Linked DNA regions of Caenorhabditis elegans. The protein of the gene in region 3 binds, or shares a complex with, the protein of the main gene of each other region. Each region holds a gene or a part of one and is shown on either strand. Other genes may lie near its edges.

Region 1 (3,839 bases), on a different chromosome or scaffold from region 3:
ATCATCATCTCACTTCTATCCGCCGATCTGAGATTTCTCCTAGTTATGCCACGTGGAGGCTCACTCTGATCCATCGGCTCCATTTCGTCAATATCCATCATTTCGCATTTTGGCACGATCACAGCTGGAAGTACCCTCTTGTTCAGTTGATCTGTCAGCCATTGGATATCGTCCTCACACAATTCTAATTGTGTTAATGGACGCCGTAACATTGACATACTGAAAAAGAGTGAGATAAATTATTTAATTTCATAAAAACTGTGAATTGGCGAAAATGTGTATTTTTGGAGATTTAATTTTTAAACGGCAAAATCGAACCTATGGCTTAAATATTTCTGTAATTAGCGAAAAAGTAAGGCAAATTCAACAGAAATGACAAAATATACAGATGGAAGTGTTTTTCCTCACAAAAAATAATTTCAAACAATTTCTCGGCAACGGCAATAAATATATATTGAAAGGTTTCATAAACCTAGATTCTAACAATAATCAAACCATGATAAAAGAGAAAATATATTATTTTAACCAATTAGAACCGAACCTCCAGCCCCTGCACTAACGAAAGAAGGGTCAGAGACAACAAAAAGAAACAACAGGGATATAAGGAAAGTTTAGAAAAGACAGAATTCGAGTAGTCCTCGTAAAAAACCGAGGAGCTGAACAAATAAGAAAGAAAAATAATACTGAAAACTGAGAGATGACAGTCTTAATCTCCGTGTTTGCCACATCTCAATTTTCAGAACAGCATCAGATGAAGAAAAAGGAAAAAACATTCAAAACCGGAAGAACTTGTAAAGCCTAAGTCGCCTTGACTTTGTCTTGACGACCTTTTTCCAATTGAAGGGCGATTTGTTGAGCGCGGAGGGTCAATCTCTTCGTGTTTTCCATGACTTGCTCGTGGATGCTGACGGATTTGACACCCATCACCACTTGTCCCAACTTGCTGTCAATTTTAGCTCCTTCGATACGATACGTTCTGATCAAGTCAACAATCCAGCGTTCAGCTTCCTCTTGGCTCATATTCAATCGTCGTGCTAGCATTTCTATGGTAATGCACTGATGAATGCGGCAGAACATCTCGAAAATGAGAAGGCGTGCAGACTCGCGGAAATCTCCAAGGACAGCAGTCAGGAAGAAATCATTGGAGAGAACCTCTTCGCACTTTTGAAGCATCTCTTGAGCCTCGTCGAAATCATATTTGATGTAGAGACAGGTGAGGAAATCAGTGACGGGATCCTTGTAACTATGGCGTTCCTGTAGAAAAACAAATAATTAATCATATTTTCATATAGAAAATAGTTAAACTCACGATGTCAATGACCTTCACCAAATCTTTCAAGCTGTTCTTCTGGCGGCTTTTGCTGGTAACAACGGCAACAGCCAGATAGCGGAGCAAATGTGGCGCCAAAACTTGGATTGCATTCAAATAAGGTTGCTGGTTCAAGAACATTTCGATAATCTCATCACGCCCTTTTGGATAATTGTAGTAGACGAAAAGTGCCCAGTGCATAAGCCACGCACGTTGCGTAACAAGTTCCCATTCCGTGTCGAATGGATTAGCATCGATGTAAGCACGAAGTTTCAGCAAATCGTCACGAGCATGTTCCCATTCTTGGAGCAGAATTTCACTGGCCAACTTTCCGTAAAGAGCGTTCAAATAGTTTGGATCCGCTTGATTGACAAGGTTGCGGTAGTAGTAAAGGCACACGGATGCGACGGTGTAATTTCCGCATTCGTACATGAACTTGCTGTACTTGAAGAGGGTATCGACCATGTCTACTGTGAACTGCAAGAATTAAGATTATTTTCGAAACTGCAAAGCAAAAACGTACATTGTGGTTTTGAGTGAGATGCTCCAAAATACGGACATTTCCATCTCTTTCTCTGTTGTTATCCATCATTTCCTTGACTTCCGGTATTTCCAAAATGGCAACAACGGAGTCCACCTTGCTTTTCAGCTCATCTCTCTCCTTGATAATTTGCTTCTTCTTAGCCTCAATTGCAGCCGGAATAGGTTTTCCATTGTAGGTCTCTATAACACTATCAATCATATTGGTCTTGGTCAAAAGCTGGCGGTGCATTTCGGTCAGGGATTTCTCATCGTAAATCTGCAATTATCATTGATATAAATAAATTCAGCTATTTCAGAATCAACAATTTATTGTTTAAATCTTACTCCTCGTGGTTCGATGAACTCCAAGAGCGGAATGATCAAATGAAGATCGAGAAAAGGCGCCATGCGCTGAGTCAGGTCGAATGTCGACATTTTTACCTGTAAAATAAGCGTATTAGTATAGTAATATGTTCTAATAAAACTCCAATCAATTTTCTTAACGGAAAACATAAATAAAACAAAAACAATGAAATTGCAGAAAGAAAATCGAGAAATTAGGAGAAATTCGCCGGGAAAGGAGGAAATGATAAACAACGCGCGCTATGGAATATCGGAGTGTCGTTGCTACTGCCTGCCAACACGAGCCACCAGCGAAATGAGAACTGCGAGAAGTAGAACTACGAGAAGAATAACCGAAAACTGCAATTTGCGACATTTGAAAAATATTTCGGAGTTTTTTGGTTCTAAAATTTCAGTTAAAAGTTTTTTAATTTAAAATATTCAAATTGAGAAATTACGAACGAATCATAATGTTCCTGGGATTAGGAAGAGTTACAAGATATTAAGACCCGAGCCCGTATCGAGACCCACCCCGAAAAACATTGTGTGGCTTTAAAGCAATGCTTAAATATTGTAATTGTGAAATGTCAGTTTAAAATCACATATTAATTTTTCGAGTGGGTCCCGCAACGATCTCAATAATAGTGTGCCAAATTTTACCGATGTGTCAGAGACACAAGTTTTATGAAATTTCAAATTTTGAAATGCACAGAAAAGCGAACAGTAAAATTTAGAATGCTTTATTATTAATTTTTGGGAACAGACGAGACCGTAAATTCATGTGGTGTCAGGTTGCCCCATTTCGGTTTGATCAACATTAAATTCGGGTATTTGATGTCAGGAGGAATGCCGAATCTACGAAGAATACGATTCAATTCATATGGACCTCAAAACTATGAAGGAGTAATGCATCGAATTATTCACAGACCGTGGAATGGAAAGCGAAGACCAAAAGTGTTCAAGTGAGAATATAAATTATTTGTCGTAGAGCTGGCGAGTGGGCTACATGAAGAGCCCTGATTCTTGAGGGTAGTGTGCCACCCAGTTGAAACAAAACCTGACTATATAGTTTGACTTGTGGGTCTTGGTTACACATATTGTTTCTAAAGATCTTGACATACCGTATTTCCTCTATTAGTTCAACAGACTACTTTACTTTGAAAGGTTATATCTCGGTTCATTTCAAAGATATCATAAAACTATTAACTACAAAACGATATAAAAAGAACTACCAAATATTTCATCAGTTAATTATTTTTGAAAACAACCGAGATATAAGCTCTCAACCGTGAACGATGGGGTGCCATACTAATTGAAGAAATTCTTGCTACCTATCTACTGTAGAGATTAAAGGAAAAAAGCTAAATTATTTTATTTGAAAAATAATAACATTCAGATACAAAATAGACGAATTGGATTGTACACTTGGATGGGATATTGAGAGCGACGATGGACAAATTGCAACCGTCAATTTTATCGAAGAATGCCTTGATTTTGTTGTATGGAAAAACGATAACTATTAATTCAATTTAAGCCAGTTGCTGTTATGTCAGAATACACTGAAATTGACCAAGATATCAAAATAAAAAAGGCAAACAATTTTTAGATCTCAATTTTCAAATAACCGCTAAAATTTGTTCAAAACTGTTTTGGTAGATTTCCAGCT
Region 2 (3,765 bases), 890 kb from region 3:
GCACCGGCTAATCGTTCTTCTCCGAGCAATTTTTTGAGTTCTTCGGAGCATTGTAGAAGACGCTCTGAAAAAAGTTTTTATAAATTTGAATGTATCCTAAATATTTGTTTCTACCTCTATCTGACGAATCTACCACCCAAATTAAAGCATCTGTGGATTCGAAATAATTCTTCCAATAAGATCTTAGACTTTTCTGTCCGCCAACATCCCATAAGTTTAGTTGAAAATCTTTGAAATGCACGGTTTTGATATCAAATCCTAATGTTGGTTCAATTGTATCAGTCGGCTCGTCGAGGAATTTTTTCATTAAAGTAGTCTTTCCAGCGTTGTCTAATCCAAGAATTAATATTCTCATCTCGCGTTCCCGAGCACGTTGCTTACGGAGAATCTTCAAGAAGCCCATCTGGAATTTTTGAGTTATAAAATGTTCTATTGCGTTTGAAAATTTTTAGCCATCAGATTTTTATTCAAACTATGATATTTTACATTGGACAGAAACCCAACTCGATTGGAAAAATAGAACGAAAAAATAACCAGGAAGAGATAGATTTATCATTGAAGAAAGAAAAGGAAATACCAACAATTTTCATAGCTAGAACTGCCTTCGTGAAAATAAACTTCACTTGCCAACTCTGATAACCATAGAAAGTAAAAATTATGATTTCAATAGGAAAGAACAACAAACATCGAATTGGTCTACAGTAATTTTCAGTTTAGACAGACACTAGCTACGAAATTATGAAGAACCAAACAGCGGGAAAACATCCAAGTACGCATAACATAAATAAATCAGAAAACGGATTAGTTGCTCGGACGTGTCCATTCGACTTTGAGAACCATATGGTACATTCGGATATCATTGAGTTCTGCAATTGCACGGGCGGCGTCATCTCTTGATTCAAATGTAACGAAGGCGAATCCTTTCGGGAGACCAGTGACTTTGTCACGGGCAATGAAGATTCGGATGACTCTTCCAATCTTTCCGAACAAATCACGAAGTTCGTCTTCGTTCATCTCTTGCGGAAGATTGGTGACACGGCATGTATTCTCATCGGATCTGAAAGTATGTTTTAAAAATAGTTCATAAATTATTCAATCATCAAGATTTTTTGGGCAACTTAGATTACAGTATTTTGAATGCTTACCGATTTCTATCGATTTGTCTTCCATCAGGACGCATTCCCATTGCCATTCTATCCTTTTCAGTATCCTTGTCAGCATCAGCTTCCTCGTCCAATTGGTACATGACCTTGTAAGGACAATGAGTACTCCAATGGTCGTTTCCTTTGCAATGACGGCAATGCTCACGGCTTGTAGTTTTAGCAGTCTGTTTGTCTTCTTGAACGTCAAGAATCTGCTCTCCTGCGCGATTTCTTGTGAATTGCATATCGACTTCTTCAGCCACGTAAGTTGTGGCAACTTGGGGTCCTGCTGGCTCTCCCTTACAACTTCCGAATTTCACCCATTTTTTGCGATCAGCGACGACTTTTGGTACACGTTTGTTGATAACTTTGAACTGTGTCACAACCTGAAATTTGGAATTGAAAGAATTCTAGAGCATAACTCGAGAATTCTGTAAGGCGAATTTTTTGGCCATCGGATAACAAACCTTCCATCTTACTCCATCAACCTCAGTGAAAGCTGTTTCGGTACGTGTTCCATCAGCTCCTTCCTGGATGTGTGGGGCGTCTGCAAAAGCGTTCATCAGTTCATACAGAAATGACTCGTTTTGTTAGGCGGTTGCACTCCAAATGCGAAAACCGTGAAAGTTCACGTAAATATTCTTGAAGACGAGAAATGAAAAACTTACTGTCTTGCTCAACGGCCTCAGCCCAGCTTACAACTTCTGGAGCGGGAGCCATTCTGAAACTTTCTTTACGTAAATAATTATTCGAGGGTGAAAACTCACGCGTTAATGCCAGTCATAGCTGTAACTTTACTACCTGAAAAACTATTGATTATGTTTTTAGCAATATAAAATAAGAAAAAATTTCAAATAAATGGTTTAACAAACTTCAGAATTAAAAAGAAACAGCTCTTCAAAACATGTAGATTTTAAAGTATTTGATTTTTTTTTCCAGAATAAGCGAATATTCAACTAGATTCATAGTTTTTAGCAAATATCTATAAAAACAAACTATAAATATGTAAAAAAAATATTCTACAACAAAAACACGGCTGGAAATCTTTTAAAAATGTAGAAATATCCCGAAAATCGAAAATTTGGGAAACAACGACGCATTGGGAAATCTGTGCATTTGCGCGTGGGATCATGTGTTTGCAGAATTGCGCACCGTATTGCCCAAAAGCCAAATGGCGCCGCCGCTCCGGTTTTCACAGATTATTCAGTCTCATCGGAAGAGATTTCTGAAGAAAATAATAAATATCTTCGTTTTCGGAGAAAATCACAACATTGTATCATGTGTCTAGATTGATCTGCGAAATATAGCAGTTTCCTATCTCTATTCTTATGAGAATTCTTACAAGTCGCCTGATGGACTTGATCACTTGGACGAATTTAACATTCTGATCATTTTCGTTCAAAATACCAATTTAATCAACGATTGTACTGATTTATTAAACTTTTGAACAATATACACACAAAGTTTTGAATGAAAGCAACGAGTTCGAATCAATATAAACAAGGAAATTAAAGAGATCACAAGTGAAATTTGATGTCAATTAGTATTTTTGGTGAGATTTTGTTTTTATGAGGTTTGAAGAGCCCTCCATTGATCTTCTGTAGTTCCACCAATAACTGCTCCATGCATTAGTCTAGTTTTGACGATTGAAGTGGCTCCTTCTAATGGTGAGGACATCTCTCCACACGTATTTCTGAGTCCAATAACTTCGTCAGCTACGGAATAAATGGCGAACATGTTCTTTCCGTATTGGAACGGCCTGAAAAAAATGTTGACTTGTAAAATCATGAAATTAATGTTTATGTGTACAGAAAACAACGTAATTAAATTTAAGTATGCCCTAGTATACCCAAAAAATGAAAAGCCTTGCTGGCTTAGTGGCTAAAAGTTTTGCCTTTCACGCACACCTGCATGAGTTCAATTCCCTGTGCTGGGATACTTTTTTTGCGAAACTTACTGTGAGTTGATCTCTTGTAAGAACTTGGAACGGCAATCCAAACCATGTGTTAAACTACAGATTCCATTCACAAATGGCTGCTTGGCGCACATAATAGCTCCGTGATTTGCTCCACCAACAGAAACATAATTATGAATTAGATGATTAATTGGGCGTCCCAAATTGACTCCACTATCAACACAGTGTCCTCCAAGAATAGCTTTTCTGGTAATTGGAGATCCCATGGAGCAAGCAATGATGTTTACTGGTTTCTGAGTGTATTCATGAACAGCAAGAATGAGAGTGCGAACCTGAAATTTTAGAGTTACAGTTTGGATTGCAATATTCCTTTCGTTGATTGTAATCCCTATTTCACCTATAGATTCCCCTTCATCTTTTCTTTTAGAATATCCTTCTCAATCCGGATCCCTTCCGAAAGATGTCTACCCAACCAGTCATTATAAATCTGTGTTTTGTGTAGTTTGTAAACAATCCCTTCTTTTTTCGGGTCACGTCCTTTTTCCGTTTCAACGTCACTCCGGCCGTTATCAATCGGGTCTTGAAAGATCACCGATCATCCCTTTGTTCTCTATTTATCTATATTAACAGACGAGATCAAACCCAGAAGTTATAGAAATTCCCCCACAAGGCCAGTCTAACTGTGACCATCACAAACTACACATTCAC
Region 3 (4,709 bases):
GGCGGCACATAATCTGAAAAATTTTATTTTCGGAAACTTGGTTTTTTTGCTAGAGAAATTATTAAGAACTATACTTCTACTTTATTCAAAAATTTTCAGATAGACTATTAAGAAATACTGATGAATTGGACACAAAAAGCATGCGAATGTCGAAAAAAATTATACTACACTCGGACAAGTAATGCAAAAATTTTAATGCAAAAGTATATATTTAATGCAAAATGAATGAGGAAAAATAGCCAAAAACTGTGAAACTATGATTTTGTAAAATGCACACTTGTCCGAGTGTAGTACAAAATCTCTCGTACATGGACACTCGTTTTTTTTCGGATTTATGTTAAAATCCATGATAATTTTTCGAAATATTTACCGTCCATAATCGTGATATGCGTTTCCAATTCTCTCCTTAGCCTCCTTCCATCGAATTTTCACTCGATCGTTCATTTTTTATCGATTTTTTCAAAATTATTTTCTCATGTAGATCTGAACGCTCTAGTGATAATTTCAAAATCAGATTATTCCGAGCCCAGATATAGAAATTCATGCAAAAAACAATTCAGTCATCCCATCAGACGCCTTTAACAACGAGGTTTATCCGATAGAAAGTGATCATCATCAGAAACCTTCAAACATTGATTTTTCTTTAAAACCAAATCAATAAGAAGGCTAAATTATGAGAAAAAGAAAACAACAAATACTAATTTCAGACAATCCATTAAAAAAAAAAGGCAGATAGATAGAAAACATGGGGAGAAATATTTTAAGAATTGGAAGAAGGATGATATAAATGGATGGAAAGAAAAACAACAAACGCCAACCAAAAAAAAATATATTAGAAAAAATCGGGACAAAAACGAGTTTATAGTGTGGAGAACAAAAATTAGGCCGACACAAGACGTTCGTGAACTTGAAGTTGAGTTTGAGTCAATTTGGCAAGGTACGAAACCATCACGTAGTCCTGAAAAAGAAGAAAACAAATATTTGAAGAGGTTTAGCTTTTTTTTGTTTTTAGATTCTCGTCAACTGCTTTTTCTCGCGGGCATATTGTTTACATGAGTATACACCCATTTTTCATGGTTTTTGGTCATTGAGAAGATAGGTTTCACAAGTTTTTTATTTACAAGTTTCTATTTATGTGTTTGTGCAATGCTCTAATTGAGATAATAATAAAGACAATTTAATTGTATGCATAAATTTCAAAAAATTGGAAACGCTAATTTCAAATTCGGGAGGGTAGCGGATATCATATCCCGACATCTACCGGGTTTCGCGCGGCACAGAAAATGTATAGGCATTCCCTAAATTTGCAGATTTTTCGTGTTTTTAGCTAAAGATTTAATTTCCTCAATTTTTGAGAAAAAAAAACTAACAATTCTGTACTAAACTGAAAAACGTATAAACTTTACTAATTTCCAACAAAAAAACTTTTTGAGGTTATTAAAAAAAACTATTTTGATCAAGATATTCGAAATTTTCAAAATCACGTACGAATATTACACAACTTTTCATTTCTCGCTTTTTAAATATTTTTGGCTGAAAACTTACACGAAGAGTATTCTTGACAAGAGTATCGAGCTTCTCTGGCTGCATATTGTTTGACGAGGCAGTGACAATATCCATGAGTTGACGACCGATTTGAGCATCTCCTGGCTTCTCACCGTTCTTGTTAACATCTTCCACGTAACTGAAAATCACGGTTTATTCTCCAATTAAGATAATTTTAAATGTTAAAACTCACTGCAACATTCTCTCCAACCACTCAATCATCTGAGCTGTGCTCGTCTCCAATTGCTCCAATCCACTTTCAAGAGTTGCCTCTCTTCTTCTGGAATCCAAAGCTTTTTCGATAAGTTGCATAGCAACCAGTTCTCCCGGGAATGCAGCTAATTCGACACGAAGTGGGTTGAAAATAGCACAGTGTGGTCCAGCAGCTCCAGGAATTCCGGCTTTTGAGCGAAGATAGGCACGAACTGGCATACGCTTTGACATATCTCCAGAGAAAGTCGTGTCAATTGTCAAAACGACAATTGGTGGAGATTCACGACGAGCCGATGCTTCAGTGATGACACGTACATAGTAGTCGTGATAGATGAGACACGAAGAAGTAATGTCAGATGTTGTAAGGAACCATCCAACTGGTTGCTCATTTGGAGAAGTTTTCTTTAATGCAGAGATCATTTGTTGATTGAATTGATCATCGATTTCCAAATCGTCGTTGCTCTCATTGAAAGGGATCGCGAAACAATTTGTGACCTGGAAAATAAAAATTGGAGAAAATATCATGAATTCCAAAAAAAATATTATTAGCGAAAATCATCCATTTTGCAAACTTTTCAGGGTTACAGCGGCCAGAACTTGCTTCTAGTTCCACAAAAATGCAATAAATTGTAATAATTGAATATTATTAAGTTCCGACCTTTGTGACACGGGAAAGCTTGCAAAATTGAAGATTTTAGCTGAAAGTATACTTTTTTCAAAATTTTGGCATATTTTTGTGTGAGCACTTGAGCATTCGGTCATTTTGAGTTTTTATTCGTTGTTTTAGATACTTTTTCGGTCGATGGTATTTACATAAAATTAAAAAAATTAGATTAAATACAGTTCCAGACACCAATAAGCTTGCAAAATTTCAGTTTTTTCAAAAAATTAGGCTCTTTTTTCTGTAATTATAAATATTTTTACCTGAATCGATCCTTTCTCATAGTATCCCATAAGTGTTCCCATGCACTTTTCCTGTCCTGTATTTTTCGCAGAACTCTTGGTACGTCTCATATGAGTGTCGACAACATTCATGTAGACTCCCGGGTGGACATTGACAGTTAAATTCGAAGCCATATTGACTTTTTTCTGAACCCTGTAATTGAAAAAAAAACTAAATTAAAGAAATAATCTGAATCAAAATAGTAAATTCAGCTGAAAACTGAAAAATGGTTTTGAAAAAATCAATAAAAAATATAAAGTTCTTAATAAATATTTTAAATTATTTATTTATTTACAATTAAAAGAAAAATTGTGTTTTTCAACGAAAAAAAAGAGAAAATAAAATAAATGTTCTGTGAATCAGAGAAAGAGATATAATTCCACTTATACATATATACTTTATCCTGGGAACGAGAGGGGGCATCAAGAGAGAGAGGGCATAGACTTAGTCTACCGAAAGTTTATAGTTTTATCACAACTTTTACTTATATTCACATGAGATTTTTAGAGAGACGTGCAAAAATTAAAAAAAAAAACAAAAAATAAATGGTGGAATTTTAGATAGTTTTTGTGTGCAACTAGACTTCTGAGCTTATTTGGAATCATTTTTCGATGCGGAAAAAAATTATGGGTAAATTGGCTTTGTTTTCTACGTGTTTCCCCATAATTTTGAACTAAACACTTTCTCTAATGTCATTTTTTGTTGTTAAATTTACAAGTTAATTTCTTCGCCTCAATCCATCGGCTGTTTCTCCTGAACCATAAGCTGGTGGTGCTTCAAATTGTCCAGCAACATGAAGTTCTTCAGTTGGATGTGGGCCGCGTTCTGGTCCGATTCCTGGATATGGTGGTGGTGCTGAGCTCATGAAAACTCGTGATGGGTTCGGCTGATCTGGGAACGAATCGGTGGTTGGATTGAAACCATTTGGTCCTGAAAATGTGAAATCTATTATTAATCGGATTAACCGGGGAATAATTTTAAAATAAAAAAAAAGTTAAATGCGGTTTAATATTATTTTTCTAACGAATTTGATAAGAAAACCATTAAATCCAAAGAAAGATGGTAAAATCAATTCAAAAATCAACAAAATTGTGAAACAAAAATGCAACGAGGTGGAAGAAAGTTGCATTAGAGCACGTTTTCATTTTTGCAAAACTGTCTGACCAGAACTGAAGATTTTTGGTATTTTTAGCAAAAAATCTCTCTTAAACAAAAAGTGATCGAAAAAAAAAAGAAAAAACTCGTTTTTTTAAAAATTAATCTTTAAAAAATTTTAAAAAATGTTTCAAACTTGGATTCCTTTTTTTTTCGTTTTTCAAAAAAGTGAAAAATGTTCAAATTCATACAAATCTCTAATGATTACGCTTAACATTTTTTAGGTAATTTTAATTTCGAATTCAGGATTATTTTTAATGTTCAAAAAATCTTACCTTGATCCGGCGACGGCTGATAATAAGCTGGCGGTGCAGAGTAGAAATCTCCAATTGGTGGAGAATATGCAGGTGGAGCATTCTCTGGTCTCATTCGAACAGCTCTTTCGACTGCTTGCAATAGAGATTGCCCGAATTCAATACATCCCCCTCTGTTGAATGTCATTCTCCATTTAACCTCTCCGCGCATTTGTCCTCCTTGAACAGCCGAGGCGATTCCACATAGGTAGTTGGCTCCGAAAATCGGCTGGTTTAAGTTAACATCTTGCATACTGTTGAATGGAATTTCAAATGATTTCAGCCAATCTCCAGGGTCTGGCATGAAAATGATTCTGTGTGATGTGAGGTAGATGGTTCCCGTTCGACGTCCTTCCAAATTCTATAAATTCGAAAATATGATTATAATTTTCAGCATTTGTGCTAATGAAGATTTTTGGTGTTTAAAAGATATGAAAAAAATACTGCAATAAATTACCTCATTTTCACTGGTTCCTAGTGTCATTACTACTCCTTGTGCAAAAATCACGATGGTTTCTCCATTATACAGTAGGACACCAAGTCCGTCCGGCGTGTTCGCC
Region 4 (5,466 bases), on a different chromosome or scaffold from region 3:
AATCTCAAAGTATCCACGACTAGATGAACTTACCGATGCTCCGAAAAGAAATCGAGTTTGTGAAATTATTTGCAATTGTCTGCGTACATTGAACAATTTCCTGATGATGTGGATTCCAACGCCCAATGGAGAAACGAAAACGGCTGGACCGAATGAAAAGCAGCAGGTCTGCAAATTCATCGAAATTGTACGTTTTGGAATTTGAAAAACGATATAAAAATGAATTAAATTATTTCAGGATATTCTGAAAAAACTGATGAGTTGTTTATCATGTGAAGGAATGGATACACCTGGTTTATTGGAACTTCGAAGTACAATTCTCCGATCTTTTATACTGTTACTCCGAACACCATTTGTTCCAAAAGACGGTGTTCTGAATGTTATTGATGAAAATCGGAAGGAAAATTTAATAGGACACATTTGTGCCGCCTATTCATGGGTTTTTCGTCAACCGAACAATACAAGAACTCAATCCACAAAGCAGCAACTTGTTGAACGTACCATAAGTTTATTGCTTGTGCTCATGGAGCAATGTGGAGCTGAAAAAGAGGTGGCACAGTACTCGTATTCAATTGATTGCCCATTAAATCTGCTGAACGGAAATCAAGTGAAACCAACGTTTATTCACAATGTGCTTGTTGTATGTGACAAGATTTTGGAGCACTGCCCGACGCGTGCGGATATTTGGACGATTGACAGGCCGATGTTGGAAGGACTGACGAATCATAGAAATTCAGATATAGGTATGTGTCTCGAAAATGTGTTCATAAATTAAATTACAATGCATTTTTTCAGCTAAAGCCGCGAATTCTCTGCTGAGTCGCTTCCCTGAAAACGACCTTCTTGCTGGTATTTTTTCAAATCGAGAATATTTCTGATTTAATGGATAAATCTGTCAACTCCATCTTTCATCCCAAAAATCCCCGTTCAAAGCCATTAATTCGTCTAGTTGGAAGCTGTTTTAGCGTGTACATAGTCGTATTATTGATTAAAATATGTTCTCTCTTCTTTTCTTCATTTTCTACCGGTCCCAAATTTCCTCATTCTTGACGATTTCATATGAATTCGAGTTTAGAACAAACAAAACGTTCCGATTTTCCTAATTTATAGCACATTTCTTCTCATTTTGCCCTCGGTTTATCTCTTTCTTTTTGTTGTTTCTTTGTTTACGTCTGTAGCATAATATTTTTGAATACAAAACATTTTCGCGATTATCTTTGCATTTTAACTATCAAATTCCTGTCTTATATACGTCTTTCTTCGATGTTCTTACGTTGAATAGAAAATAAAATTATAAAACTTTTTAAATGTTGGATTGATTTACTGAATACTCGGTTCATATATAAGTTATTTAGAGACTATTCTCGTTCTGTAAAATTAACCTGAAATTGTGGAATTGTGATTAAATAATAAATTATTATTTAAATCTCCGCGCAAATGCCCACTGGCGCAAGTGGCGAGTGCTGACGCATCTCCCGTGCACGCGAAACGCGCCAGTAAGGTCTTGCAACGATTTTCTTATGTTCCACTTCCACTTAAATTTATTTCAGCTAAATATTGACCCATTAGCTGTTTTTTGAATTGTTTTCAAAGGGAAAATCGTTTTATTCATTTTAAATTTTAAATAATATTGGAATTTCTGTCTAATTGTGTATCTACTGCTTGTTTGCTTCTTGTTTTGGGATTTCATAATGTCAATTTTGTTTCAGCAATGTCTCGCTTCTTCCATGCTAAGGAGGACTCTGATTCCGACACTTCGTCCAGCGAGGATGAGGTAGAGGATCAAAAAGTGAACAAAAGCGCGAAATTTCGGTAATTATAATCTCCAAAGTAATTCCAAAAGATTGATTAATCTTTCAGCGATGATCTCGATTTCATGGCCGGTCCTGAAGAAGATGAGAAGCGTGTTGTTCGTGCCCAAAAGGACAAAAAATTCGATGAGCTGAAAGGAATTATCAAGCAAAATCGAGATGCAAAGAGCAACAAAGATCTGAACAGACTTCTAACAGGTTTTGATTCTCTGGCCAAAGCTTATGATAAGTCCAAGACGGTCTTTCAACGTCAGAATGTCGCAAATCCAAGATTTTACATAAGGTGAGATATATTTTTAATTTACAGTCACATCATAAAATAAAATGCTAATGAAAACTTAGTAGTTGATATAAAATATTTCAGGTCTCTTGTGGAAATCGAAGACTACGTAAATAAATTATGGGATGATAAAGATGCTAAATCTGCTCTTTCGAAGAACAACGCAAAAGCTCTTCCACCTCTTCGTCAAAAACTGAAAAAATACATCAAGGATCAACAACTGCAAGATCTTGTTACCGATTATCGCGTTAATCCTGACGAGGATGGATATGAAACTCCAGAAGATGAAGACGACGATGATTTTGGAGAGGTTTCTGAATCGAAGGCTGAAAAGTCACCTGGAAAACCATCTGAGAAAGCTGCAGTGAGCGATAGTGACAGTGACAGCGACGATGACGACTCCTCTAACTGGTCTTCTGAACCAGAATCCAATTCTTCTGATGACGAAGACAGTGTGACTAAGATGGAGCAACTTCGTAGGTATTTCTTGAAAAAAGAATTCCGCGTGGAGAGCAAAGATGACAAGAAAGAAAAGAAGAAGAGAGTTATCAGAGTCAAAGAAGCTGTCGAGGAAGACGATGATGCGGATTGGACTCCAGTTAATCGTGAGAAGTCTGTTGTTCACTTTGATCCCAAGGAAGAAGTTACTCATGACGTTATGATTAAGAAACTCAATGAGGTTATGTCGGCTCGTGGAAAACGAACGACAGATCGTAATCAACATGTTGCTAATCTTCGAAAACTTTTGGAGGTATCGGAAGAGAAAGAACTTGGTCTAGGAATCAACGTTAAAATCAGTTTCTGCATAATCTCGGCTCTTTTCGAATTGAACGCTAAAATTAGTGATCACATGGAGTACGAAACATTCATGACCACTCTGCAAACCGTCAACAGCTTGCTCGATCTTCTCATCGGAACTGATCGTGTAAAGTTATCTGTGACATATGCTGAAGAAGATGAAAATCTGAAGGTAATACTTGCATTCCTAAAATTAATAAAAATCCTAATATTTGCAGGATGACACTCAAGAGTATCGCATTCAAGGAAGTATTCTGATTGCTGTGCAAAGATTGGACGGAGAGTTGGCTAAAATTCTTCAAAACGCCGATTGTCATTCCAATGATTATATCGAGAAGTTGAAGGCCGAGAAGGATATGTGCTCACTCATTGAAAAGGCCGAGAAGTACGTTGAACTTCGTAACGATTCTGGCATTTTCGATAAACACGAAGTTTGCAAAGTGTACATGATGCGCATCGAGCATGCCTACTACAAATATCAAGATCAAAATGAGGAGGATGCTGGAAAGTTGATGGATTACTTGTGTAATAAGATCTATACACTTGATGATGAGAAACGATTGAGACAACGTGCTATGCTCTGCCATGTTTACTATCTGGCTGTTCATGACAAGTGGCACCGCGCCAGAGATCTTCTTCTTATGAGTCACATGCAAGCTATCGTTGATCATTCTGATGTCGACACTCAAATCCTCTACAACAGAACTATCTGCCAACTCGGTCTCTGCGCTTTCCGACACGGTTTCATTCGCGAAGCTCATCAAGGACTATCTGAAATTCAAAATACCCAACGTGCCAAGGAGTTGCTTGCTCAAGCTGTTGGAACTCGTCAGCACGAAAAGACTGCTGAACAAGAGAAGATTGATCGTTCCCGTCAAGTTCCATATCATATGCACATCAATGTTGAACTTATGGAGTGTGTCTATCTGATCTGTTCGATGCTTCTCGAAATTCCACACATGGCTAGTTGCGAATTCGAAATGCGTCGTCGTATGCTCAGCAGAAGTTTCCATTACCAATTGAAGCAAAGCGAGAAAGCTTCTCTCACTGGACCACCAGAGAATACCCGTGAACATGTTGTCGCCGCATCGAAAGCAATGTTGAATGGAGATTGGAAAAAGTGTCAAGACTATATCGTCAATGACAAGATGAACCAGAAGGTCTGGAATCTTTTCCATAACGCTGAGACTGTTAAGGGAATGGTTGTGAGACGTATTCAAGAGGAATCTCTCAGAACTTATTTGCTCACATACTCTACAGTTTATGCCACTGTTTCGCTCAAGAAGCTTGCGGATTTGTTCGAACTTTCAAAGAAAGATGTTCATAGCATCATCAGGTATTTGTAATATTTTACTAGACAGTACATAATTTTTTTTTATTTTTTCAGTAAAATGATCATCCAAGAGGAACTTTCGGCTACACTTGACGAGCCCACCGACTGTCTCATCATGCACCGTGTTGAACCTTCCAGACTTCAAATGCTTGCTCTCAACTTGTCTGACAAACTTCAAACTCTTGCCGAAAACAATGAACAAATTCTGGAGCCGCGCACTGGACGTGGTGGTTATCAAGGTCCAGGATCGTGGTTTCCAGGAAGGAACGAGCGGCAAGGAGATAAGCAGAAAGGATCTGGTGGATACCAAGGAGAACGACGTGGAGGACAAGGACAAGACGGAAAGCGAGGAAATTGGGGATCTCAAGGTGGTCAGCAACGTCGTCATCCTCAAAAGCCACGAGCCTTCTAAATATCCATTTTTCAATCGTCTCTCCCATTCGTGGAACCCGCTAATACGCCTTTCATGGCGCCTGCAATTAGTCTCAAAAACTTTTTGCAGGCGCCAATACTTGTTGAATCTTTTATTTAATTGATCAGTTTTTTTGGTAATCCCCCACCCTTTCCCACTTTTCCTTGTTCAGTGTGAGATCTGAACTTTAAAGCTCTCATTTTTCGTTTCCGGTTAGTAGTGTTTAAGTTATACTCTTTCCATACTGTTTTGTTTTTGCTAATTATTTATATTGGGTTGCCGGATATTATTTTAATGAAATATTTAATTTGATTCGTCCAATTTTAAGTAATTTTTTATGAGCCCCGGTTCTGTCCAATCAGTTATTTTCTCAGATCCAACAATAAAAGTAACAAAAAATTAACATAGAATTCATATTTCAGGTTACTGGAAACATAAATTTCGCCTCAAAATGGGTAAAAGGAAGGCATTCATTGATAAGAAAGCCAGTCAAAGTTTTCGATTGGTTCCGGATAATAGGGAAAGAAGTGAACGATTCAAGCCAACTCAAGAACATTTGGAGGAACAGCAAAAGTATGGAGTCTACTACGACGATGATTATGATTATTTGCAGCACATGCGAGCTGTTAATGAGGTTTGTCATCTTAAAATCAATTTGATCAAATACCGAAACTTAAAAAAAAGTGTTTGTTTTTCGATTTTTCAATGAAATCAAAAGATTTTAGGATATGTCAAAAAATAGCTTAAAATTTTGGTCTTTGTACTTCTTTTAAGTAAAAAATTTCTATGTTTTTTTAATCAGCATTTTTTACATTATTTCATAAAATTGAAT

The links.
Region 1: eif-3.F (region 3) and eif-3.E share a complex: the UniProt entries of both Caenorhabditis elegans proteins name them as parts of the eukaryotic translation initiation factor 3 (eIF-3) complex.
Region 2: eif-3.F (region 3) and eif-3.G share a complex: the UniProt entries of both Caenorhabditis elegans proteins name them as parts of the eukaryotic translation initiation factor 3 (eIF-3) complex.
Region 4: eif-3.F (region 3) and eif-3.C share a complex: the UniProt entries of both Caenorhabditis elegans proteins name them as parts of the eukaryotic translation initiation factor 3 (eIF-3) complex.

Annotation. Positions count from the first base shown.
Region 1 is NC_003279.8:10,640,010-10,643,848, forward strand, and holds eif-3.E (Eukaryotic translation initiation factor 3 subunit E), read right to left. Parts: upstream 2,273-3,839; 5' UTR 2,267-2,272; coding exon 2,177-2,266; intron 2,109-2,176; coding exon 1,833-2,108; intron 1,787-1,832; coding exon 1,310-1,786; intron 1,255-1,309; coding exon 799-1,254; 3' UTR 514-798; downstream 1-513. Other genes in the region: cdc-26 (Anaphase-promoting complex subunit CDC26), read right to left, coding at 14-218; B0511.17 (DUF4283 domain-containing protein), read left to right, coding at 3,020-3,135, 3,570-3,696. UniProt on the Caenorhabditis elegans protein: Component of the eukaryotic translation initiation factor 3 (eIF-3) complex, which is involved in protein synthesis of a specialized repertoire of mRNAs and, together with other initiation factors, stimulates binding of mRNA and methionyl-tRNAi to the 40S ribosome.
Region 2 is NC_003280.10:8,440,945-8,444,709, reverse strand, and holds eif-3.G (Eukaryotic translation initiation factor 3 subunit G), read right to left. Parts: upstream 1,944-3,765; 5' UTR 1,927-1,943; coding exon 1,910-1,926; intron 1,864-1,909; coding exon 1,811-1,863; intron 1,690-1,810; coding exon 1,610-1,689; intron 1,529-1,609; coding exon 1,146-1,528; intron 1,058-1,145; coding exon 802-1,057; 3' UTR 535-801; downstream 1-534. Other genes in the region: evl-20 (ADP-ribosylation factor-like protein 2), read right to left, coding at 1-64, 115-403; lips-10 (LIPaSe related), read right to left, coding at 2,709-2,901, 3,100-3,389. UniProt on the Caenorhabditis elegans protein: RNA-binding component of the eukaryotic translation initiation factor 3 (eIF-3) complex, which is involved in protein synthesis of a specialized repertoire of mRNAs and, together with other initiation factors, stimulates binding of mRNA and methionyl-tRNAi to the 40S ribosome.
Region 3 is NC_003280.10:9,329,788-9,334,496, reverse strand, and holds eif-3.F (Eukaryotic translation initiation factor 3 subunit F), read right to left. Parts: upstream 2,855-4,709; 5' UTR 2,836-2,854; coding exon 2,683-2,835; intron 2,254-2,682; coding exon 1,739-2,253; intron 1,685-1,738; coding exon 1,546-1,684; intron 959-1,545; coding exon 881-958; 3' UTR 527-880; downstream 1-526. Other genes in the region: scp-1 (Sterol regulatory element-binding protein cleavage-activating protein), read right to left, coding at 1-13, 371-444; wbp-2 (GRAM domain-containing protein), read right to left, coding at 3,420-3,631, 4,132-4,510, 4,607-4,709. UniProt on the Caenorhabditis elegans protein: Component of the eukaryotic translation initiation factor 3 (eIF-3) complex, which is involved in protein synthesis of a specialized repertoire of mRNAs and, together with other initiation factors, stimulates binding of mRNA and methionyl-tRNAi to the 40S ribosome.
Region 4 is NC_003279.8:9,975,906-9,981,371, reverse strand, and holds eif-3.C (Eukaryotic translation initiation factor 3 subunit C), read left to right. Parts: upstream 1-1,709; 5' UTR 1,710-1,711; coding exon 1,712-1,812; intron 1,813-1,860; coding exon 1,861-2,094; intron 2,095-2,175; coding exon 2,176-3,061; intron 3,062-3,107; coding exon 3,108-4,225; intron 4,226-4,276; coding exon 4,277-4,634; 3' UTR 4,635-4,946; downstream 4,947-5,466. Other genes in the region: Beta-catenin homolog sys-1, read left to right, coding at 1-187, 239-743, 796-878; T23D8.3 (Protein LTV1 homolog), read left to right, coding at 5,086-5,268. UniProt on the Caenorhabditis elegans protein: Component of the eukaryotic translation initiation factor 3 (eIF-3) complex, which is involved in protein synthesis of a specialized repertoire of mRNAs and, together with other initiation factors, stimulates binding of mRNA and methionyl-tRNAi to the 40S ribosome.